4 linked regions of the Saccharomyces cerevisiae S288C genome follow. Changing the gene in region 3 together with the main gene of any one other region gives a genetic interaction. Each region holds a gene or a part of one and is shown on either strand. Other genes may lie near its edges. The genes, in order: YLR257W, YMR181C, CIS3 and PAN3.

Region 1 (8,356 bases), on a different chromosome or scaffold from region 3:
GGAGTCTGGTCGCGGGGTCGCGGGGTCGCTAATCCAGGGGCAGTCCAGTGTCAGAATTGGTAAGCTGCAAGAACCCCATAAGGCCTGTCCTGCCTGGCATGATAGTACTAAGTCAGCATCGTGCCGGAAAATCGAAAATGAGCCATGCTCGAGGCCCCATGTGCAGATATCCCTATTCCTCTTGTAGTATCTATTTTTGTCTCTAAAACGATATCCGGGTCCTCAGGAACGAATGATAGAAAATGGATTTAAGGTTTGCTGCTCCATGCGAGATTTTGTAAGGGTTCCATTAGTGATGGCGTGCTTTGCTCAACACACTAGCAGGCGGAAGGACATTCTTGTGCTACGCCTGCAATCTTGAATTTACTTCTCGAAGTATTCATGTTTTACTACCGTATTGTTTTATTTCGCACATATGTACATGCAACTCATCGGTCACTCTAAAAAGCCAGCAAATTTCGTAATCCATGAAATAAACATAAAAAGCCATTACTTGACAGAAATTTTAATGATAGACAAATAAATAATGTATACATATAAATAATTGGAAACTTCATCAGAAGTCACTCCAGTTTCAATATTCCATTCTACTGTGGTTGAGCTTTGTTAGCTGCTTCTTCCAAATCTTTGGTGTATTCTTCATTACCCTCGTCTTCCATCAAAACACCCTCCTTTTCGGCGTCCTCCTGCTCTTCTTCTAAAGTTTCCGGGATAATTTTGGGTCCGTTCTCCAAATCAACTAATGATATAGAGTAGTTGCTGGTACTATACATTCTAGAGTCTTCTCCCTTAGAGGGCGAAACCGTTTTGTTCTTTGTGGGTCCACGACTTATTGACCTCGATAAGGATCTTAGAAACTCAGCCGAAGATTTTTGTCTATCAAAGGATCTACCGCTTCTTTCTTGTCTTTTCTCTGATTTTTCAGGCGCCGTATGATCTATTTCCTGTTCTGCGGACTGGTACGATTCACCCTTCGCCAAATGTGGCCTGTTGGAATTGTTTTTGATCATTTGCCCGTAAGAGTTTCTGATTATGTCTTCGTCTTCGTCGTCTGCCTCACCTGTAATATTTTCAGGGGTGCCTGATGAAGAGTACTTACTGATGTGATCTTCGACAGGATCAGTTGATGTAATCAGTGAATTAGATTTGGAAGCACGCAGAGAAGGAGAGGAAAAACTTTCCGAGTTGATGGATTTATTTCTTTGCTTTTTTTTCAACAAGAGTAGTTTTTTCCTTTTCTCCTCTGCCTCTAGGTCGTCTCTATTGCTGCGAACTTTCGAAGCATCAACATTCTCCAAATCAACTTCGTCGGTCAGCAAAGCACCCTCACGATTCAATTCCGCTACAGATGTATAAGATCTATCTCGAATATCATCATCCTTCTGCATCTTGCTTAGGGCGTGATTGGAACTCGTTTGTGGCGTTAGTAACCTCGAAGCCTCACTTTCCTCATTAAACTGATTAGTATACTGGAAATCCAGACTATTTCCATCATTAACGTTTCTTATAGAATCACCAATTAAACATGGCGTACTACCCCTAGCGTCAACCATTCTTACTTCTCTTTCTCTTGATATGTGGTATATTTTACCTAAATCTCACGATAATATTATTTTCAAGTATGCTAAAAATAAAGGCAATCGAAACACGTGGAAAAGTACTCTTATTAACCAATGTCGTGCGGGTCAAAATGCTATTTCTATCACTGACGAATAGAGAACCTCTTAAAAATAAGTGATAGAGTCAAAGACAGAGCTAAGATCTTTTCAGACGCAAATACTAAGAGACCTAACACTGAGTAAAATAACTTAGCATGTCGTTTTCTATACGCTTGATTATCTATTTATATATGGTATGCATAGTGGCCAGTGCATGCGCAAAGCCTTGCCCTTACCGTGGCTTCGTCAGATCCAACCATTCACCATCCCCTGGATATGAACTAAAAATTTCTCGCAAGGTGAGGTCTAGGCCGACGCCCGTTAAGAACCCCTGCTGTCGAGCTTCAAAACGTAAACAGTTCGTCTCTAGTGATAACTGATAAGTACCTATTTATCAGTCCTAACCCCAGAGATAGATATCGCCTTGCAGTGCCGTATTAATGAAGAAGATTCTTTACGGTATCAAAGCGAAGTGCCATGAGATCGGCTTCACCGACAGAACAGACATGCAAAACGATGATAACTGCAGCTACACGAGAAAAAAAAACAAAAACGACAATCTCCAGGCGGAAAAAAAAGACCGAATACAACACAGCATTGTTTATATCACACTTTCCGTAATGATAATACACAGCGCAATATCTGTATTTTGTATGATCGAACTAATTGAGCGGTTCTTTCTTCAGCGCCTCTAAGTTTATTCGAAGAATTGCCCACTTGATTTAAGATATACGTTATAGCAGTGGTAACTTCTTTATACTTCTTGTTTTGCCAGCCAAAATAAAAAAAAAAAACAAGAAGTTACAATAGGCTAATGAAACTAAATTATAAAAACTTGTTCCTAAGACAATGAATTGTTCCCAATATCTTGATTTTATGGATTCTTGTTCTGTGTAAAAACAATGAGGGAAGGCCACCAGAGAGGGGTGATTAGGATCTTGGCGATATACACTTGAGGGTTGAGTGAATAATTGTTGAAATTTCATTGTTATCAAGAGCTATAATATTAGGTGTACGAATATACCAAGTTTCCCTCGAGAATAGAGAAATCCTCCAAGTGGAGTCGGTAAATCTACATAATAATATCACGGTTATTTCTCCTTCCGTTTTATATATTTCATTATCCCATTACATTATCAGTCCTTGCATTTCAGCTTTCATTAGTCTGATGACTGGTTCTCAATCTTTATGCCATCTTCTTACACTGTATATGATAATATACTAGTAAGATGAATATTAGTCAATAGACAATACTAGGCCTTCATTCCAACAGATTCTTGCTTCAACAGTAAGAAAAAGATCGAATATATGTGGTGAACTGGAGGTCTCAAAACATAGAGAGCAGTGAAAGACAACTGTTGTATTACGGGCTCGAGCAATACCGGGGTCCCTTGACAATCCTAATATAAACAGTCTTTGGGAAGTAACGAGTTGCCAAAAGGGATTATCAGCTTACGGAATGTTACTTATCTTATATATTATATAAAATATGGATCATACTTGATGGTGGAAGCGCGGAATCTCGGATCTAAACTAATTTTTCAGGCGTTTATACGTTTGGAAAGTTCAGTTAAGGAGGCGGAGTTTCATCTCATGTTGCTCATTCTGTTCGTTTTGCTATAAGGTTGTTTCATATGTAATTTAAGAACGTTTAGGATGATTATTATCATACTGACGTACCCCATTCTGAAACACAACAGACAACAAGAAAATTGGGCGTGTGGCGTAGTCGGTAGCGCGCTCCCTTAGCATGGGAGAGGTCTCCGGTTCGATTCCGGACTCGTCCAAGTAAATATTTTTTGCAACTTCTTCAACCTCCAATTATTATTCGATCATTACAATTCACCGATAAAATAACATACATGCTAAATAACTAAAATAATAATAATAAAAATATGTCCCTTTCTATTTATACATAAACAAACCGCATCACTCCCATATTGGAAAATCTGCTCTATAAAAATCTACTAGTCCATCTGAGAAATTTGTGGGTAATTAGATAATTGTTGGGATTCCATTGTTGATAAAGGCTATAATATTAGGTATACAGAATATACTAGAAGTTCTCCTCGAGGATTTAGGAATCCATAAAAGGGAATCTGCAATTCTACACAATTCTATAAATATTATTATCATCGTTTTATATGTTAATATTCATTGATCCTATTACATTATCAATCCTTGCGTTTCAGCTTCCACTAATTTAGATGACTATTTCTCATCATTTGCGTCATCTTCTAACACCGTATATGATAATATACTAGTAACGTAAATACTAGTTAGTAGATGATAGTTGATTTTTATTCCAACATACCACCCATAATGTAATAGATCTAATGAATCCATTTGTTTGTTAATAGTTTAAATGTTTTTATCGGAAGAGGTTTTGTCATCACATCAGCAATGTTCTTCTTGGTCTCGATGTAGTATACGTATAAATTATTACCTGATACTTCATCTCTAAGTCTCATTGCCTTTGTGCCAAAAAATCTGTTTCTAAATTTCTCTTCATTTGTAGACTTAATTATACTGATCGTTGATCTACTATCAGTAAGTAAGCCTTTAATAATTGGTTTCTTGTTAAGTTCTTGCACAAGGTGACTGAGGTTATTCAATAGCGGTATAGCTTCACTGACTGCGTGTATTTCTGCTTCTGTAGTTGAAGTGCATGTTAACGAAGCCTTTGTCGACTTTCCTCCAATCACTTTTCCGTTGAGTAGGAAAATGTTACCAATTTGTGACTTGTAATATGGTTGGTTACCATATGAAGCATCGCTTATTGCGACTAGTTTATTATCTGGCTTGGTAGGTTTGTTTTTGTGCCATATTAATTGTTTATCTCTAGTGTCCCACATGAATTGTATTAACTCATATGTCATGTCTAAAACTTGCCTAGAGGGGAATAGTATATGTTGAGCAAGTGTGTTGATGTAGTATAGTAAGTCAAATCTAAATTTATATCCAACATATGAAGCTAGACCAATCAACTTTTGCATTTCATGTACCTTCTCTTTGTATTCATCTTCATCTATTTCTAGTTCATCCTGGTCTATATAAAGACCTGGTTGACCTGGAGCGCTAAGTTTTCTTCCTTTTGGATTCAAAGGTACGTTTAATTTGGGTATTTTCTCAGTTAATGAGTTTTCCATACCTAATTTCATGTATTTACCTCTTTGATATTTGATTTCTAAGCCAAGTATGTCATATTGAATTTCCTCATCACTTTCGCCTAGATTTATAATCTTGGTGTCGTATTGCATCTTAAGCTTCTCTATAATTCTTTTGTTTGAATTTAGATTTTTGCTAAACAATACCATATCATCTACGAATAAACAAATTGTCACTTGACTGTTTTTAAATACGCATGACCATCCACGAACTTCTTCCATACCACATTGTTGTATCAGGTATGATTTGATAGTTTCGTACCAGTTCGCTCCACTTTGTTTCAATCCATAAAGTGATTTCTTCAAACGTATCAACTTATCATTCATTCCTAAATGTGGTGGAGGTCTTATGTATAATTCTTCTTTGATGTCTGCATACAAATATGCCGAAGATATGTCTAATTGTGTAATATAGTAGTTATTGTCTAATGCAAGTGACAGGGATGTCATTAATGCATAGTGATGTACGGTATTGGATTGCATGCCTGAGTCGTAAGTGTCAGGATGCTGAATATCACCTCTTGCAACAAATCTAGCTTTATGAGTACCGTCACGTTTCTTGTTGAAGATAAACATTGAGTTTATTACTCTTTTAGGGTCTATTTCTTTTCTGTCATAATATTCGTCAGTGTCCCAAGTTTTCATCTTCAACAGTTGATTGACTTCTTTGTGGTATGCCTCGATATATTTTTCTTTTTCTTTAATATCTTTATTATAGGTGATTGCCTCATCGTATCGTAAGGTTGTCCGTATTGGTTTGATTGATTTTACTGCTTTTACAGCTGCAATCAGGTGAATTCGTTTCTTCGATCTCGGAGGTTCTAAACTACGCATATTCTTAGTATTCCATGTGTCTCGTGATACCTTAATTTCAGTTTCATTATCTTCTAATGATCTTTTCTTACTGTTGATAGTAGTATAGGCATTAGAGTCACCAATACCACCCAAACTGGAATTAGTTTGACGAGAATTTATCGGTGGGAGTTCTTTAAATGGGTCAGGGAATTCGGTAGGAGATTCTGGAGGTAGATCAGGGAGTGGGAGATCAGCGATGATAGATTCCTCGGTATTCTGTTCAGAAACAGTAGTTGGCGTTTTGATAGGAACAATATTGTGCGATGAATTATTTTCCGGTGGAGAAGCATCGATTGAAGGTGAACGGTGTATAATCCTTTTCTCAGTCTCTTGGTCACTTATCTGCGGAACAGTTTTGTTGTTGGTACCACCCGTACTGGATATTGGTACGTTTGTATGATTAGTCTCATTTTCACTGTACGAGTCTGAGTGTCTGAAATCTTTAGATTTACTGGCGTGCGACGACTCATGTGTGTTAGATTGGGACATGGGAGCAAGTAAAGGAACATTTAATTTATGCATACCACCCGAACCGGTACTCTCGATATTGGAAATTTGGGGGGTGCTAGATCTCTTCTTTGATGGAAGAATATTAGATTCAGATATGTTGGGGTCAACTTCTCTGGGTGCGCGAATATTGGTTTTAGAAACACGTTTCGAATCTTCAGTATGAGTTGACGGAGGTGTGGAATCGGTTGGACTCACAGCTTTTGAAAGGACATTTCTCGGTTGCTCAGGATGTAGTTCAATGTCGGATTGGAAGTCATGGTCAGATTCTATGTTAAGATCATTGGATTCTTGGATCTCATTTGACGCAATGAACGAATGATATGAAGCAGTTAAACGGTTTAAGTCTTCATCGAAAGTGAGTGCGTCGTAATTGAATTGATCTAATCTGGATTCCTTGCCCTGAAGAATAACATAGTTAGTTGTATCTACTGTCTTCTTTAAGGACGGAAGATAGATGATATATCCATAAGAGTTTCGAGACGGATGTAGAGCGTAGCCTGGGATGCCACGAGGATGTATTTTGGAGTTAGGGTTGTGATCATTGACGATAACAGGTTGACCGAAAGGTAACAAAGTACTGATATCAAGTCCTGCCAAGCCAGCATGTTGTCTTGCAGATTTTTTGCTTTTAGGTGAAGCTAGTGAATTTCTCACAATAGTAGAAAATTCGATTGCAGAGAACCATAAATGGTTCGGTAAACCACTACATTGCAGTTGAGTACGGCAGTCATCTAATAAGGTACGGTTTAGCCGTTCAGCGACTCCATGTGCTCGGGAATCCGCTGTGGTTGTATAGCATGGAGTTATACCATTTTTTTTTCAAGGAATTTATGGAGAGTTCTGTTAGTATACTCAGAACCACGGTCCATTTGTATAACTAAGACACTGGCCTGAAACTGGTTTTTAATAAAAGCTAGTATCGTAGTAAAAACATCGAGGATAGAGTCCTCGCGACGGTCGTGTAATGGATAAACCCAACGGAATTTTGTTGTCTCATCAGTAAATGAGATGAAATAGGATGGTGCACTATTTGGTAGGTTGTGAACTGGACCAAATATGTCAGTATGTAGGTATTGAAAGGGTTCGTATGAATTTTGGTATTTTAGTCGTGAACCTTTGATATGTCTGTGTTTGGTGCTTTTGCCGATTAAACAATCAGGACATTGATAGTCAATAGCACTAGACCAGTCGACATCTGATTCGTTAAAATACGTGATGGTGTTATTTTTAAGTGAGTATCGAATTGTCTGTGCATTGGCATGCGCAAGCATTCGATGAATGAAAGGATAAGGATATTTGCGTGTACTTTCACTTGTATGGACATTATTGATGGTGGGTACGGAGATATTTGATGGAAGCAAGTACTTTTTAGATACCCAGTAAAAGTCTCCATATTTTACGATAGGTGCAAGTACAGTGCCGTCAGACCGTTCTAAGACGTTTTTGGTAAAGCATGCTGTGATATCTACTGCAGCCAATTCATTCAAACTGAGTAAGTCATAGGCTATGTTAGGAGTGTGCAATACCTTTATTGATGTTTTGGTGTTGTCCTGGAAGTGAAATTGTAGGTCACCAATAGCGTTAATTGGTATATTTCTTTTTTGAGCATCAACTACGTTTATGTCAGGATTAGATGATGCTGAGTGTATGTGGTGAGCAGATCTTATAAGGGTTCGTGATGCTCCTGAATCGAGAAGGAGGTGTCCAGGGAGTTCATCATCAGAATGATTAGTGTGATTTACCGTAGATTCAGTAAGTTCCTGGCCTAAGGTGAAGGTCGTGCTTATTGTTCAATTGAATCGGTTCAGTAGTTGATTTACTGATGGAATCGTTGTCCGTGCTGGGAGAGTTATTAGATGTGGATACATTGTGAGCCCTGGCTGTTTTCGATTTCGAATTATTTGTTTTTTGAGGATTCCGAGCTATAACTTTGGGTTTGGTTGTATTCGTATAGCTGCGAGAATCATTCTTCTCATCACTCAGATTTCTCCTGTAATTAGGTTTGCTGTTTCTCGATCCCTGTTGTTCTTCATAAATAGCATGGATATCTAAGAACAGTTCAGCGACTGTCATATTTAGATGTCGATGACGTGTGTAGCGTAAAAATTTATATTCGCCAGATAGACCTCTCATAATTAATTGGCATGCGACCTTGTTATTGATATG
Region 2 (7,888 bases), on a different chromosome or scaffold from region 3:
TGTTACTTCTAGACCAATCAACATTGAAGCGCTCGGCAAATGCTTGACAAGAAAAAAAACTAATTTTCCCTTCGCCTTTTATAGTGCCCATCGGATAGGATATTCCATCTTTGTCTTGCGCCCACTTCGTTGTCGTTACCCGCACGTTGTGTTTTTTGAGGGCTTGAGCAAATTCTTACAGTTAAGGTACAATAGTTGTCTCGAAGAGCAGTACATCAACGGCCTGACGACCTACAGTAGCACTTTCCTTTAAGTGTATATAAACTTTCCTTTTCGGTAAGGGATGCAGGAGAAAGGGCGAGTTTTGTTTATATGCGATCCTTTATGGTAACCTTTGCGGTTAATTCAGCATTATGGTTGCTGATGCACACTTAACGAGGGGAAGAAATATTATGTTACATGCATGAAACGCACTCGGTTTTCTCATGGTCTTTCTTTTTTCGGGATTTCTTTTAATAATATCTTTAAAGTATTACTGGTAGTCGGTCTTTCCCCACACAAAAAAAATTAAAAAAAAAAAAAAAAAAAAGAAACTTTCCGGCGCTCCTTCAGGAGTCTCGTAACTGATGCTTTTTCTCTTCCTAATATTAAGATAAAAAAAAAATTAAACACCGGTAGCAACTTCTCGAGCCATAGGGTCCTGCACACCCTGCCATGTTACCGCACGGACCATTAAGTTACGTGGATGCCGGACTCTCAAGCCATGAAAAGTTTATCTTTATTTAAGTAGAGTTTTTCCTTCTTCTCAAATTTCTGAGAATTTTTATCTTCGATCATTCCCTCTTTTTTTCTTTTTTTCTTTTTTTCTTTTTTTCTTTTTTTTTTCCCTTCTCTTACTTTCTTATTTTTTTTTTTCATTCCTCAGCGGATCCCTTCAATCGTTTATAACATTATTTTCCTTCTCTTTTCTTTCATTGTATCTTCTTGATTTCAACTATTGTTTGTGTGTATATGAACAGACGCCTCCTTCTCTTTCTTTCGTGTATTCTTGATTCAATTGCGACTTCATAGCACTATTCCTCCCCACTCACGTCTATAGTCCAGGACAATTAGCATGACACTGGTTAAACATGAGAGGAAAACAACCGAAAAGGAACAAAGACAACGCTTCTGTCAAGAGAAATTATAGATGCGTGGGATATCCTGATTGTAACATGAGTTTCAATAGGACCGAACATTTGGCTAGACATATCAGGAAACACACAGGGGAGAAACCATTCCAATGCAATATCTGCCTTAAATTCTTCAGTAGAATCGATAACTTAAGACAACATCAATCTTCTGTTCATTCGGACGTTGATTTGATGTCCTTACGTAGACTGCAGCAGTCCGCAAATAGCACTGCGAACGACCCTAACGCAACAAGAATGTTCCCGCAATTACGCCCATATGGAATTGTTGTCCAGCCCGCGCCTGTTCCATACAATCTGCCCATATCAACTCCTGCTAGCCCACAAGACACTATATCTCTTTACGCACCACCATACTTCCCTCATCCTATGCCATCTGCTCCCATACCATTGCCGCATCAGCCTCCTCCACTACCAATATACAGCTATATGCAACCACTCTTCCTGAACCACACTCCCATACAAAACCACAACATTGTAGAGCTCCCTCCAGATAGCAGTGACACTCCAGCATCGCCGTCTAAGGTGCAAAGTTTTGACCAGGCCAAGGACGCTTCACCAAACGCAAAAAAATAAGCTCTACCGCACCCACTCCTCCATTTCACAAGCCGCATCATTGCTGCTATTGTACCCTCTTGGCCATTCGCGTGCGCGTTGATTGCCGTTATTATGCAGATATTTTGATATCGCTTGCCGTTTGGCTCATCTCCGCGCCCTTAAAATATATCCGCTTCTGTTGGGAAATGCCGAGCATAAAAATGCCGAAAATATAAAAAGAACAAGAACAATACCCTTCGAGGGAAACGCTATTTTCCTGTCCACACAACCTTAATTAATTCGCACGTCTGTGCCACCAAGTAGCAACTGGTTCGTATTGCTTTATCTTTCTTGCTTGTTATTACATTGCTGTAAGATAACAAGCAGCGTTTTACTCTACGGATTGTTTATAAGGATTTTGTTCCTCGACCCCTTATATTTACTCACCTTCCCCCTACTCTAATTCTCCTGATTTCAGAACAAAAAAAAAATGACTCCACTTTTGCAGGCGGAAGCAAAAATGAACACAAGCCTCTACCTTACGGAAAGCATCCAACAACATGAATTCAACCTCACCAGCCCTCAGTCATTCTATTCTTCTCCCTCGGTACCCAATAGTAAAAATAACTCGGGCATTTTCAGCTATAACACTGCCAACAACAGTAGGGTGAGTTCTAGTGATGAATTCACTACCCAACAAGACGGCATGAACACCATAATGTACAAAAACAACATCAGTAAAACTTTCGAAGACGACATCTTTTATTGTCCAAGAAGTTTGCTCACCCCAGAAGAACAAGTGGTATACCAGGAAATTGACAAGTATTACATGGAACAAGCACTATTGACCCAGTTACAAATCTCCCAAACGTATTCCTCCACTCCTAAAGAGGAAAAGATAGTTAAGTTCAATCCCTACACTTCGAAGAGTTTCAGTCCAGCTTCTTCTGAATAACTAACGAGAACACGTTCACTACAGACATGGGGCTTCTTTTCCTTTTTTCATTTTCTTTCTCTTATTATTCTGGGTATTTCTTATTAATCGGTTGAACTATGTATTACGTCGAAATTTCTTTAATATTTCTTTGTATTCTTCACGACGAATTGTTCATTTCATTTTACTCCATTTTTTCAGTATTCCTGGGGCTACAGGTATATGTGGCAAAAAATTTTTTTTCTATTATTTGACGGGATCTCCTATATATTTTATACACTTTTACAGGAAAAAAACTTATTAGTTTTCAATATTTTCTTTATTTTTTTTTCCTTAAGACAACTTTGTTGACTACCAGCAAAATGGGAAAGAAAAAAAAAGCACTGAAAAGGAAAAATGAAAACACTATAGGAAGTTTAAGATATGTCTGACCAACCCGAGACTCCTTCCAATAGTAGAAATTCTCATGAAAATGTTGGCGCAAAGAAAGCTGACGCTAATGTTGCCTCGAAATTCAGAAGCTTGCATATCTCTGAAACCACTAAGCCATTAACATCAACTAGAGCTTTATACAAAACCACAAGAAACAATTCAAGAGGTGCGACAGAATTCCATAAACATGTTTGTAAGTTAGCATGGAAATATCTTGCTTGTATTGATAAATCGTCGATATCACACATTGAAATCGAAATGAAATTTGGTGTTATAACAGACAAAAGGACACATCGCAGGATGACACCACACAACAAGCCCTTTATTGTTCAAAACAGAAATGGCCGCTTAGTGTCTAACGTTCCTGAGCAAATGTTCTCGAGTTTCCAGGAGCTACTCCGCTCAAAATCGGAGAATCCAAGTAAATGTGCCCCAAGAGTAGTAAAACAGGTACAAAAGTATACGAAAGATTCTATATATAACTGCAACAATGCCTCGAAAGTTGGCAAATTAACTTCATGGCGTTGTTCGGAAGACCTTAGAAACAAAGAACTTAAACTTACTTACATCAAAAAGGTCCGGGTCAAGGATTTTCTCATTCGCTATCCTCAAAGTTCATTAGACGCTAAAATTAGCATCAGCCTTGAAGTGCCTGAATACGAAACTTCTGCCGCTTTCAGGAATGGCTTTATTTTACAAAGAACCAAAAGCCGTTCCACCTACACCTTTAATGATAAAATGCCTTTACACTTGGATTTGACAAAGGTTACTACCACGCGAAGGAACTCCCATCAATACACGTCCCATGAAGTGGAGGTAGAAATGGATCCTATATTCAAGGAGACAATTTCCGCTAATGATAGGGAGAAGTTTAATGAGTATATGTGCTCGTTTTTGAATGCCAGCGACCTTATACGTAAGGCTGCAGAACGCGATAACATGTTAACGACATGAAAATGCTAATTAAATACTTCTTTTTGTTCTCTATAAGGTGCTACATGTATGATCTGAGTATATATATATATATATATATATACATGCTGTGCTAGGAATAAGTTCATGTAATATTTTCAGTGTTTTATTGACTGAAATTCACCGATGGGACTTGTTACTACCTGACTTACTCTTATTCCTGAATGGATGAATGTTGAGAATAAATCGTTGGTCTTATCGCTTTCATTATCATCGCCGATATTGTGTCCTTGCTCTTCTTCAACTATGTCCTCAGATAATTCCATGGGTTGATGATAATTGAACATCCCACATGGTGAAGACGGTATTGCCTTTTGCTTTTTGAGGGCTTCCTCCTCTTCCTCTTCATCCAAAACTTCTTCATGAGATCTCTTACTTTGCTGAGTTTCCAGCATGCTAGTAAGCTTTTTCGAAGCTGTAACATTATTATCAGAAGCTGGCTGGTCAGCTGGAGTAGAGAAATTTATAAGCCCTGCCTGAGGTTTTGTATTGTCCGAATCTATTACAGATGCCTTTCTATCTTTTATATCATTATCACATGGGGTGGCATTATTACTATCTGTTATATTTAGTGTCGATCCTTCTTTAATGGATATACGCTGCATGTTTGTTGTCGAGCTTGAATGTGTAAGTTCAATTAAAGGTATAGACAACGAGTCTATTGGGGAGGTTTTGTCAACATCGCTAGGCAAAGATATTTTATTATTTTGCGCTGTTTCCAATTCACTGACATCTTCATTTTCGAGAGCAATGGTGTTACAGGTGTTTGGATCGTTGAGTGTTATAGAAGGCTTCAAATTTTGCTGATTGAGTTGTGATGCACTTGCAGAAGTTGGTGATTCAAAAAAATTGCAATTGAAATTGGAAAACCATCCCATCTCATCTTTAAATACTACATCCGAAAAGTCACTCATGGGGAACTCAGCGTTAAAATCCAAGTCACCTTCAAGCTTGTTCTCTTTACTAGTTATGCTTTGGGGTGGAATATTTTCTTTATCATTTTCACTAGTTAAAGATATCTTACGCCCCTTTTGTTTTTGCTGCAATTTCTGCCCTTCAATGCCTGGTTCCGATAGAATGTCACTTAAAATTGAATCGTCATGATCATTTAAATGTTCTATCACTGATGATCGCCTACATCCTGCTTGTGTAGACTTAGCCGAATTTTTGGAATTCGAATTCTTAACTTTGACAATCGTTTGCTTATCATTTGCTTTTTTTTCACCACTAGTCTTCGGCGGTTGCTTTGGATTTATGTTTATTGAAGCTGGTTTTTTTGCTATCGTTGCTATACCAGGTGACACTTTTTTCGTAGACTTTCTTTTGTTGAGCATAAAATCGAACCTCTTGCTTACCGAATCATCGATCTTGGTCCTCTGAATAGTATTATCGTTTTGCAAAGTATTTATTTCGTAAGCTATGTTTTGATGCTGGTTGTTTTGTTGATTGGCTTCTGTTTTTCTATCTGCTAAGTAGATTTTGTGCGCAATTGAATTTCTTGGGAAACCAGTATTCGCTATATTTGGTTTAAGATTCCAGATGGGTAAAGACTGAGTTCTGACAGCTTTTGGAGCAGGCATAGGATTCGTCTGTCTTCTTCCCACAGTCCCGCTATTAGTATTATTTATTGTTATCGTGGTCCTTGCATTCCTTGAATTTTTTATTTGGTTTGTCTTGAAAAGAGATTGCGATTTTGGGGTAAACGGAAGTGTTGCTGATGGTAAAGAAGACGGCATTTGAAGACACGATATCCGAGAATTTGTAGTATTGTTACCAGACGTCCTTAAATTGGTTATAACTTTTGTGAATCTTAGTTTAACCTCCAAAGTTTCTTCCGGAATTTGGTTGTTTACGACCCTTCCCTTTTTATTCGAGATGTTGCTATATGATCTTCGTAGTAAAGCGGAAACATTCGAGCATACCCTTCCAGTAACTATAAAAGATTCATCTTCATACTCTTCTTCAGTTACCTCATCTCTCTCTTCACTTTCTTCTTCACCAATATTGTTTTCTGTATACTGGTAGGGGCTATTCTTATGAAACTTTTTTCGAAGCCCGGAAAGAAGACCAAGGCTTACTAATGGCTCATCCACTTCACATATGTCACGATAATACAAGTTATAATCATATCCATCTTTTAAAGTGTCATGGTCTAACACTTCAGGTGAATTTAAGTATATTTCATGCAGTATAGTCTTCAAATGGATGGCGCCAATTCGCAACTCCGTTTGCTCATTCGAATCTGTCGGGAATGGACTAGGAATATTAGCAACTCTTACCTGTTTTGGAGCCCTTGAGCGGGCTAAATAACTACCATTGGATCCATTATCCAATGTGTAAAGGATCTTCAATGTCATTTGAGAGAGTTCAGACATTTTACCAGAGTCTTTTGTTCAAGTGAATACCAATTCCAATCCAGGTTTCAGTTGCACCTGGTCAAATTGACTTCAGTTATGTGTGTTGACTAGGTTCAGCTTAAGCGTTGCTTATAAAAGAAGAGATGTAGTAAAGCAACAAACTCACCACGGCTCAGTGCAATTCCCAAGAACCGAACTCTCCATTCAATGGGTCTTTCTCTTCACACACACCTTTTTTCTAACGCGACGCGTTTTTTTTACCTTTTTTATATCACGAAAAAAAACGCGACCGTAAATGAAGGTTTTTCCTTTCATGGAGCAGTTGTATCTATTGAATGAATTATATACCTTTTGCTGGTTTGGTCCTTTCGGATATGCATTTTTCAAATGTTTACTTTAGCGATTGAAGCTCTAACAGTAGCAATGTGATCTTTAATTTTTCAAGGTACCTTTCTACCACGAGCAGTGTACTTTTTTGTTGAGAAGAAAGCGCAACTACCGGCGATGACTGAGATGACTTTGCTCCCAAAAAAAAAATCTATATCTATACATAGTTCTAAATACTCGGGTATTCAGCTCTCCTGGTTCGAGAACTTGTTTTCAAGTTCAGAAGAAATTACTTCTCCCTCGAGGTTATTAACAACTCTATTGACAATACTCTTCAGATATGAATCGTCTTTCTTTTCACCCAAAATACTAACTGTATTGAATCCCATACCAAAATGTGGGTATGAGCCTATTTTAATGGCTTCTGAAACTTTTGTTGATTCATCCTGAATCAACTTTAGCTCTTTAGAAATTTGAGACTCAGTTAGGTGTGTTCTGACAAAATAACGAACATACTCACGTGGATCCTTGTCCAAATTATATATTTTTTTCAACGTGGGAGTGAACGCTTTCAGCATCCTTGCAAATAGTTGAGGGATACCGGGTAGTATATACATTTTGTGAGATATAGAACAAATAGGTACCCACAAGTCATCACACACATAATAATTTTTGACGTTTGTGCCTTTTGGCATGGTTGCCATTTGGTAATGCGCCTTTAGAGCATCTGCATCAAGCCTTGCTTCAGGGTCAGATTTATGCCTCATTCGTTCTTTGCATTCTTCATCTAGTTCACAAGGCAAATTAAAGCTTTTCGCCATACATTCGTAAGTGATGTCGTCATGAGTGGGGCCGATTCCACCTGTACTGATGATAAAATCATAATTTTTGACTAATCTTCTCACAGTATCTACGATCTGGGTTTCATCATCCCCTATAGTTGCAATTTCTTTTAATTGAATTCCATGATCAAAGCAATACTTCGCAAAAAAAGTGGAATTTGTATCAACTACTTTTCCATTCAGCACTTCATCACCAATTATGATACAAGCTGCAGTTACTTTCACCATTATACCCTTGACAGTATATACTTTGCCTCCTTCAGTAATTCTTTTATGTCATTATTATCACCAGTAATGACTGCTATTGTTATATCCCTCGCTCTTTCCTTTTTAGTCTCTCGGGCAGCCATAGTCGTT
Region 3 (4,570 bases):
TCCTTTTCTACTACTACTCTAGTCGCATCCATTCCTTTGCATTTATCTTTTCTGCGGTTGGCCAATCCATTCTTCCGAGAATTTGGCTAGCCATACTTGATGTTTTCCCATTATTGGTTCGTTTGGCAATGCTAATTTTCTTAATTGCCCCTTATATACTCTTCCATAAAATGTTTTTTTTATAACTAATTTTCTGTATATCATTATCTAATAATCTTATAAAATGTTAAAAAGACTTGGAAAGCAACGAGTGATCGTGACCACATAATTGCCTCGCTACACGGCAAAAATAAGCCAGTCCTAATGTGTATATTAAAGGCTGCATGTGGCTACGTCTATTAAAAAAAAAATATTTATCTAAATAAAAGAAACCTTCTTTTAGAGAACCTTAAAAATGTAATATACAAATCATTCATACCAAAATCTTTTTACAAATCATAATCTTTTTCTATTTCTTTTCCCTTATAAAAGGTAGAACATTAGTACTTTGATGTAGCTATTTAACAGTCGACCAAAGAAACAGCTTCCAAATGAATGGCACTACATTGTTCGGCGACGTTTTGATCATACAAGTTGTAGAAATTGCCGGATAGACATTGGTAGAAAACGTCACTGTCACCCAAAGCCAAGTAACCATCTTCAGTAATGGACCAACCGGCAGCGTAGATGGCGCCGGCTTGTGGTGGTGGACCGTCAAATTGGAATTGTCTGTTAGCAACAATAGAACCAATTCTACCCTTGGCATCAGTCAAAACACCGTCCTTCAAGGTCAATTCTAAGGTACCAGAATTCTTACATGAGCTATCTTTCAAAGATGGAGTGGCACAAGAAGATGATGTGGCATTAGTAGATGTTTTAGATGCAGAGGAAGAGATCTTTTCGGAGCTGGTTGGGGTAGCGGTAGTAGTAGCTTGGGCTTGACTATCGGTGGCTTGAGCAGTAGCAGCAGAAGTGGCTTGGACTTGACCGTCACCAATTTGAGAGATAACGTCTCTCTTAGCTTTTGAAGAGGTAATAGCTTGAACAGCAATACCAAAGGTGGTAGTGTATTCGGCAGCACCACAAGAGATGGAGCCGGTTGGGGTTAAGGTGGACCATGGTTCACCTGGAGTGTAACCTTCAGCAGAAGCAGTGGCGGATAGAGCAGCAACGGAGGCAGCTAGGGCGACGTTTTTGAATTGCATTTTAGATGTAAGTTTAGCGAGTGAAATAGTTTTATGTGTCTTGATTTACAATTACTACTGCCAAAAAGAGAAGGTTAAGATAGACCCACCACAAGATAGATTGGCTCTCTTTCCCGAATACTTATATACTGACTGTTTGGAGATGAAACCTTCGAGAATTTTTCACCCACTGTCAACCTATTTCTTATTTTTGTTTTTGTTTGTGGACGTTTAGCTTAAATCGGCGCGAATTTTTTTGGCGCAGTACACGCTGACCCGTTTCTTTTGGGCGACCGTGTCTCGACCGTAGCAAAAGGGGAAAAAGAAAAGCTGGAAGGGCTAGGCGGGATCTGGCCCGTGGAAATCGTATGGAATGCATAGGCGGCCCGGCCAGGCACCACGGAAAAAAGCTGATTGTCCTCTTTTACGAGCCGTGGATTTGCAGGAAGAAGCAACGCACGCATGGAAAACACGTGACCTGAAAGTCACCGGAACAAATTAGCCACATCGACGTTTCTTTTACTATACAGCTCGAACAAGCTAACTTGAAATGCTACAACCATGTTGGTATAATTGTGTACAGACACGTGCATTTTTGGTACGAAGAGGGTTACCCGGCTGCGAGTTTTTTTCATTATGAACTAATTCAGGGAAATAATCCCGTTCGGGAAATAGATAAACAACGCCAAACGAAAAAAAATATATAGTGCATATATGACGAGATTTAATTATCGCCAATAGGTTCTTTCTTAGGCAAAATTAAAGTTTACTCAATTTCTATTTATACATTAACTGCTATTTACGACGCATTATATATATTCAGTCATTGCGTAGTATAGACGTGGAGAAACGAAAAAAAAAAAAGGAAAAGCAAAAGCCTCGAAATACGGGCCTCGATTCCCGAACTACTAGAGGTTGGGAACTTCCAGGGTCTGATGAATTCTTTGCTGCTTTACCAGGTCAAAATATTCTATTTCTATCAAACTAGAATGCGGGTGTTCATCCATAATTAGACGCGTTTTTTGTTCACCCGCAGCCATATCCCCCAAATATACTTGCTCGAATGTAGCTTGTGGTAGACGAAGAGTTACATCTAGATAACGCTTAGTGTGCAGCTCCTCTAAAAACTGCTTAATGCTAGCGTTCAATGGAGTCATGCGGCGTTGCGAAATTTCGTATCTCCAATGGTAAGATAACTGGTCAAAGGCCTTTTTTAATTTCTGATCATGCTCAATGTCAACAACGTCACTCCCGTTGAGGACCAAGATTTGCTTGGCGTATCCAGTTGCAATATGGTCATCTGTATCCACGTATGCACTTGTTGACGCTAATCTTTCACAAGTTTGTAATGTTACCTTATACTGTTGCTTTTCATCGCGGAAGACGTTTGGATTAACCACTTCTAAATTATCCAAGAAAGTTGTCCATCCGTCCCAATTTTTATTTATCATTCCGATGAAGGTGCCAAATGGGCCTACTACACCGGATCCATCTCTTCCAACAACAACTATTCCCAGTAAATCGTCTGTGTTTAATCCATCCAATATTTGATGAACACTCTTTAGAACTCTCTTGCGATACAGTTCCCCATCAGCATGCGACAAATTCAAACATACAATAAGTTTTAGCGGCGTATCACTGTGCAATCTTTTCCACGGTAGACGAGAATCATGGGATTGTGCTGATATAACATCAGGCGGCGCTCCTAAAGCGCCTATTATATTCACATGAGAGAGTTCCTTCACTGTAGAAACAATCTCACTTAATGGTAGTGTCTCCAGTGAAGAATTTTCTAGACAATACTTCCATTTGGGAAGCAACCACTTTTCGCAGTTTTCGTTGAACCTCAAGTATATTTCAGGTATATTAGTGCTCTTCAAACTACAAAGTAGTACGTCCTCATTGAACTTGATTACCTGGTAAAACTGGTCTCTAGGAATCTTACCCAGGATCTTCATTTCTTCAAAATCAAACAAAACTAGAAATTTGGAGAATAATATTACAAGGTTATTGTCTACCCATTGTTCGCCATCATCAGAATACATTAGTTTGTCAAACAAGATCAAACTGCCAAATTCGCTATCCTTATCCACATTTGTTTCGATATATTGATCAATTTTCTTTTTCCATTCCTTTTCCCTTTCCTCTAGTTCTTCGTGGTCCACATGATTCACATCTTGCAAGACCCCTAAATCATCACTGGTCCGCATTTCTTGAAACTTCACACTGACCATAACATGTTCACCACCCGTTTTACTAAACCACACTTCAGCAGCACTTTCGTCTATTTCATCATCACAGTCCAGTTTTTCATCATCACTTAAATCAAAAGGGTCTGTAGTTGCCATTTTATTAACGAATGGTGAATTTAAAAATGGGCTATCAAGATAGCTAACGGCCTCAAATTGATTGCTATTCGATAAGCGTGGTGTCCTGAACCCATCACATGAAATATCAGCAGTACGAATGAGCTGCTCCTGTGGTGTAAACTGAGGAAATTCACCTGTGAAGCTTCTCGCCGTTTTCAAATCAATCCATTGCTGTTGCATATTGGATGACGGACCATCATCATGAGCGCCTGCGCCCGTTAGAAGTTTGGATACCATTTCAGGAACAATGTCTTTATCCTTTGGCTTGCTCACTTCGCCACATATCTTACACTCAGGAAACTTGCCTTGGAAATAAAGAGTTTCAAATAGCATCAAATAACAGTTATAGTGGCTAGTGTGTGAACACGTAGACTCCACAACCTTTTCACCGGTAAATGTGGAACTAATACTTTCCTCACAGATTAAACATTTCTCACCTATGTACCTTTTTGGACTGAATTGTGAATTGCATTTTTTTATGTTTCTTTCCAGGCTGATCATGAAAGTTGGTGAATCTTCTTCGTAATATGAATCGCCGTCAATGCGATAATCTTCATCCATAACCGTTAAATTGATGTCTGACAAAGTATCACACATAGTTGTAGAATCAGAAATCGACTCTCGGAGTAAACTAGTAGTTAAATTTGTAGCTTTGATGTTGTATTTGTTGCTACTTGTGATATTTACTGGCGATTGTAAAGCGCTAAGTTGTCCTGTTTTCGAAAAACCAGATGCTACTGATCCCGCTGTTTTCTTCAAACTTGGTGGGGGAGATATAGGCTTGGAAAGATTCAGTGGTTTAGGAATATTGCCTCTTTTGGACATCATTAGGCCAAGATTTGGAGTAAATTGACTCTCTTCAATATACCCAAATGTGGGCATCTGTTGCTTCTTAAATTCTGGTGTCTTTCTAAAAACTTTACCCGATAAACCTCTTAGAAATTTCTTCGGTGGTGATCTTTCAGCGTCACGATCTCCACTTGGTGGAGTGTGTATTTTTTTTTCAAACGAAACTCTTGTTGGTGTCTTCATTAATAG
Region 4 (5,456 bases), on a different chromosome or scaffold from region 3:
ATGAGGCATGCGACGGAAATCAATATTGAAACTTCTCAAAGCTGAACCACTGAAAGGGTTCTTTAGGACAATTTTCATTCCCTTAATCAACAAAAAATGACTAAAACCTACATATTCTTCTTAGAAAAAATACATACGCAAAACAAGATAGAAGAGCAACTGTTGATACGATAGCAAGGGTGACAGAGACTATTCAATTATATGTCTTTTATTTTCATTCTTATCACCACTTTTCCGTTTTCAACTTCGTTGACCGCAAATTAAATCTGTTCTTCTGGTGGTTGATTCAGTAATTCTTCGATTATTGGACAAAGCTCTAGTGGCCTAGTCATGCATGAAAACCTTTTAACCACCTTCCCATTTCGGTCTACCACAAACTTTTCAAAATTCCATTTTATCATTTTTATTCCAGACTTCCCGCTTACTGAATTCTTTAAGAACTTGTAGACGGGATCTTGCTTTTGCCCGTTGCAACGGATCTTATGTAGAATAGGGAAGGTTACACCATATTTATCTTGACAGAACTTATTAATCTCTTTATCCTTCTCGAACTCTTGATTTCCGAATTGACCACAGGGAAAGGCCACAATCACTAGACCATGTGATTTGTATTTTTCGTACAAGTACTCTAATTCCTTGTATTGAGGTGTGAACGCACAATGAGATGCTACATTGACTATCAAAACCACTTTGTTACGCAGGGAGTTGAAGGGGAATGGATTTCCGTTTTCATCTATTGGTGAAAAAGAATAAAATTCTTGCATCGTTACTTATAAATATTGTGTTTCTCCGCTTATATTCCTTATACGGGTTCACAATCAGAGAACCTCGCCGTGCACAATATCACCTACATGACTAAAATATATTTGTACATTACTGTGTTATATAATCACTTAATATTGTTCACCATAAGCAATCTCTGTAGTAGAGGTGAGCCCCGGCTTTAAGTTCTCTTAGATGTGGCGAACAAGGGATGAATCGCTTACCCTATAGAATTAGGGAACAGAAGGGGAAAGCAAATACGGAAAATTTTCCACATGAAGACGGTAGTGGGGTATGTCAAGGGGATACTAATGTATAATTAATATATATGTGTGTATCTACATTATTTGGTGTTGTTTTATTGGGTGATGGATCGAAAGGTGGATTCTATCAAGTCCTTCAACTCCTTATAGGATATAATAATACAGTTTAACTCATCGGGCGTTACCAACATTAACTTTTCTTGAATACCAGCGTCTAATTTGTTCAAACATCTTAGGACATGAGTTAAATCCATTATTGGTTTCCCATTCGAATCCACTTGATGGAATACGTAGTCATAAAATAGTATAATGGGGAATTTAGTCCCAGATTCGGACCAATTTATGTCTATTCTTGATTCGATTCTACCAAAAATGCAATTTAGCTTGTTGACCAGCCTAAATAATCTGCCATTTTCTAGTTCTCTTGATAAGACAGACTCCATGTATTCTGTATAGGTTTGTGACGATTCCAGGACCATGAACATCTTATCATAAAAGTGACTAGTAAGATCATGAATGCTCTTTTTGGAATCGCCGTTGTCTGATATCAGATACTTGAGTACATCCTTGAACTTATCATCGATCTGTCTCATGTCATCAATTGATTGAGGGGTTATTTCCTCCAATCGATATTCTTTAGGGGCAGTGTTGTTATTAGAGTTTTCAATATTAATGGATAGGTTAAATAATAGCTCTCCTAAATATTTGTAGTCTAGCTGTTGTTGTCCCTCTATGGTACTTCCGCCGGAAGATACTACGGTATCAGTATCATCATTGAACAAAAGGTCCATAAAATTGCAGTGTGATAACTTGATTCTCCCTGGGTCCCCAGTAATCAAAACTTTTCTCCAGTTTAATGTATTGCCAATACTCAAGTTTTGTGAATGGATAGAGTTTATTACATTGGTGAGTTGAACTAAATATATCCATAAATAATTATTCGTTATTGGAAACTTAGGGAAATTAACAAAGTGGTAATCATACAAAGATAGCGAGTTTGGGTAGTAGTCAAAGACCAAACAAATAGACAGATCACCAAATTTAGTAGTTTGAAAAATGTCCCTAAACTTTATCAAATTTGTACAATTAATTTTTGACCATATCTGATATATTTTGGATATTTTGTTTGGATTCATTGACTTATCGATGTTAGGAAGCCTCTTCAAAACGTAGGCTTTACCGTCATAATTGGAAAAAACTTTGAAGAGCGTAGTTTTATTTAAAAAATCGTTATTATTGAAGTTCAATGGAACCAAATTAAAATAATCTTGTACAATACTTGGTATAACTTTACCTGAAGAGGGGAAAACCTGCAAAATCGATAAGTTTTTCTTGGTTAAATCTTCTCTAATATTGTTTGGAATGAAAAGCTGATCTGCAGACCTTTCATTAGGCTTTAATAATGATTTCAATGATGATGGCTGTTCAGGTGCATATAGGTGATACTGTAGAAGACTGTGAGGAGGCGGATAAATACGTGGGTACTTAAGATTACTACTCTCTATGGGTGGCGGTTGCATAGGAGGTGGCACATTATTAGCCATACTCATATTGTTACTATTATCATCAGTGGCGTTTATATTTATGCCACCAGAATTTGCAATGGAGGGAAATGGAAAAGAATGTGCATTTGCATTAGTGTGAATTGAGGAGGTTGAAGACGGAGTGAAAATGGGGGCATTGAAGGGGTCGTAATTGGAACTCGAAGCGGTAGTTGGTATTGATATGCTTATATTACTATTATTGTTATTGTTATTCACTAACGAGCTATTAACTATCGGATTAATCATCGGATTAACTGTAGAAGCAGTAGCAGAGGTAGCTGCCATGGCGATATTGCCAGTAGCATTTGTAGCAGCGGAGGTGGTATTCGTCACAGTGGTTAAGGAGTCACTACCGACTGTCATCGGAGTGAAACTTGCGGATACTTTAGCATTGAACTTAGGAACTGATGTCATGGTCGGAGTTGTAGCCTCACCCACATCTATTGGAGGAGGAACGTCATTTATGGTAGTAGCGGTAGTGTTATCGCTGTGTTTGAAAGGGCAACCTTCTTTCTCCTTTTTGCAGTAGCCATAAATAGTGATATTTCTGCACGGAATATCCTTCGCCCAATCAGGATTGATTTTGTCCATGGCGTAAGATACGTCTGACTAGTCTTTTAGGCTTACCTATCATCGAAACAGTGCTCCCGCCATTGTTATTATTGCTCTTTTAATTCATAAACCAAATAATTTAGCAGTTTATTTTAAGGTTACCCTGTAAAGGTCTGATATGTAGGGGAGGGCATATAATCATTTTAATATATATGTATATATTCTTACATATATATATAATATCGCCGTAACTTATAGCGTAAACTATATAAAATACGTCTTAGTCTATAAGCTATCACGGATAGCGTCTTGGACGTCTTTGTACACATCTTCGACGGATCTGTCGCAACGAACACGGACGACTTTCGATTTGGTTTCAAAGTACTCGATGACGGGCATACTAGTCTCCTTGAAAGTGTTAAATCTCTTCTTAATGGACTCAATGTTGTCATCGCTTCTACCACTGGTCTTGCCACGCTCCAATAGTCTCTCTAACATGATATCTTCAGGGCAGTCAAAGAACAGGATGAATTTGCTTTCAACGATGTCTCTTTCAAAGGAAATGGCTTGATCCATCTTCCTAGGAAATCCGTCAATTAAGAACTTATGCTTGTTCGCCTTGACGTTATCGGAAATAGCGTTGCGTAAAAGCGCCAAAGTAATCTCTTGAGGGACAATCTGGCCCTCTTTGATGCAGTTCTTGATCAATTCCCCATATTGGGAACCTGCTCTGCCCTGCTCAGCACGTAGAAGGTCTCCGGCTGACAAATGGACAAATGAATAGTCCTTAACTAGTTTTTCACACTGAGTACCCTTGCCTGCACCGGGTCCTCCTAGAACGAAGATCACGGAAACTTGGTCAGGCGAGAAAGCTGGCTGTGATGTAGTGGCAGCTGTCATTTGTCTTATTCAAGAAATTCAACTGGTTCGTTCTTTTGATAGTTTACCGAAATAACTGATGTCACGAGTGCTAAAGTTCCTACGAGTACCAACAATTTGCCTTTGTGTTTACCCTTGCTTTGACTTTTGTTAGCGCGTGGTACGTTTACGTTGGTCTTCGAAGGTGCTGTATTGTGGAAAGTTGGTTTTTTCGAAGAATAAAATCTCAGTATAAACCTGTAGCGTGGATTCATAATATAACTAAGCTAACATAAAAACGGGAGAGGGTGTGTGCGACTAAAGGCAAAGACAGGAATGCATCGCTTTAAAAGATCACCATAACTACTTAAAAGTTTCGTTAACGTGGTGAAAAAGAAAAGAAAAAGAAAAGTGAAAAAAATAAACCTAGGGTTGAAAATATAATCAGTTAGGTGTCATGATATTGATACATTTATTTCTATAGGTCTGAGAGTACTAACTTAGGGTATATGAGGGGTGTTAAGTTGGGATGATGACGCATTAATTAAGAGTTCATTATATGAGGATATTGTATACAATGCAAGAATAGCGCCCCAATCCCGGCCAGGTATAACGTGCAAGCATGAATAAAGAAGAATTATTGGGTTTTCTACTAGATGACAGTATTGATAGCCAAAAAAGATGCGTCACGGATCAGCAGGCCTACTCTAATTGGTTAAAGAATGATAATGATGAACGTACGGCCCATGAGGAAAGCTCTTCACAAAGTACGATAGCCGCATTGAATAAGAAGAAGCAGACAGAAGCTGCTCAAGAAGATATAGAAGAACTGTTAAACGGCTTAGAAGGCATTATTGGAGGAGCCGACCCCCGTAATCTCAAGAGTAAGTCAAAGAGGAAAACCAAAAAGGGCGGATCGAAACCAAGGGAAGAAAACGTGAATACGGAGAAACATATTGTAATGCTCGAGGTAGAAGATTTTAGTGATATGAGCACCCACGAAGATGTCAACGGAGCAAGTCCGTCGCCAAATCTGGACCGGTCGAAGAAGAATGAGAAGCGAAGGAAAAACGCCAAGGAGCTGTCATACGATGAACTAAAAGACAAACTAGAAGTTACCACTCGCAAATCACGTCTTGAGTGCAAAGACTTGAAAAAGAAAGTTCATGGGCTCGAAAGAAGGAACCTTGAACTTGAACAGCGTTTAGAAGAGCTGAAGATTGAGAACCAGACTTTGATAGAGATTAACAATAAACTGTTGAAAAACACTAATGAGGATGAGATTAACAAGAGCCAGAGGAACAAGGAGAAGGACCGAAAGCGGAGGGAAAGAAGAACGGCAAGGAGAAAAGATGAAAGAAAGCAGGAAAAAAAGCAGGAAAAAAAGCAGGATAATAAAACATCTCAATCTTTTCCTTCCTCAACTGACATGAATGGACAGCCTATAGAATTTTGAATGCATTCTAATGACATAACT

What was found.
Region 1: mutations in CIS3 (region 3) and YLR257W together harm fitness more than expected from each alone (negative genetic interaction), as found in Saccharomyces cerevisiae (one large-scale study listed by BioGRID).
Region 2: mutations in CIS3 (region 3) and YMR181C together harm fitness less than expected from each alone (positive genetic interaction), as found in Saccharomyces cerevisiae (one large-scale study listed by BioGRID).
Region 4: mutations in CIS3 (region 3) and PAN3 together harm fitness more than expected from each alone (negative genetic interaction), as found in Saccharomyces cerevisiae (one large-scale study listed by BioGRID).

Annotation. Positions count from the first base shown.
Region 1 is NC_001144.5:652,023-660,378, reverse strand, and holds YLR257W (uncharacterized protein), read right to left. Parts: upstream 1,554-8,356; coding exon 588-1,553; downstream 1-587. Other genes in the region: YLR256W-A (gag protein), read right to left, coding at 7,940-8,356.
Region 2 is NC_001145.3:618,350-626,237, reverse strand, and holds YMR181C (uncharacterized protein), read left to right. Parts: upstream 1-2,157; coding exon 2,158-2,622; downstream 2,623-7,888. Other genes in the region: MIN3 (Min3p), read right to left, coding at 341-427; RGM1 (Rgm1p), read left to right, coding at 1,071-1,706; CTL1 (polynucleotide 5'-phosphatase), read left to right, coding at 3,025-3,987; SPT21 (Spt21p), read right to left, coding at 4,104-6,380; FPY1 (flavin adenine dinucleotide pyrophosphatase), read right to left, coding at 6,935-7,759.
Region 3 is NC_001142.9:121,765-126,334, forward strand, and holds CIS3 (Cis3p), read right to left. Parts: upstream 1,185-4,570; coding exon 501-1,184; downstream 1-500. Other genes in the region: cyclin-dependent protein serine/threonine kinase inhibiting protein FAR1, read right to left, coding at 2,072-4,564. UniProt on the Saccharomyces cerevisiae protein: Component of the outer cell wall layer. Required for stability of the cell wall and for optimal growth. Required for resistance against several antifungal and cell wall-perturbing agents.
Region 4 is NC_001143.9:389,120-394,575, forward strand, and holds PAN3 (PAN-complex poly(A)-binding subunit PAN3), read right to left. Parts: upstream 3,161-5,456; coding exon 1,121-3,160; downstream 1-1,120. Other genes in the region: glutathione peroxidase GPX1, read right to left, coding at 261-764; URA6 (bifunctional uridylate/adenylate kinase), read right to left, coding at 3,407-4,021; MIN9 (Min9p), read right to left, coding at 4,027-4,254; SKA1 (Ska1p), read left to right, coding at 4,602-5,435.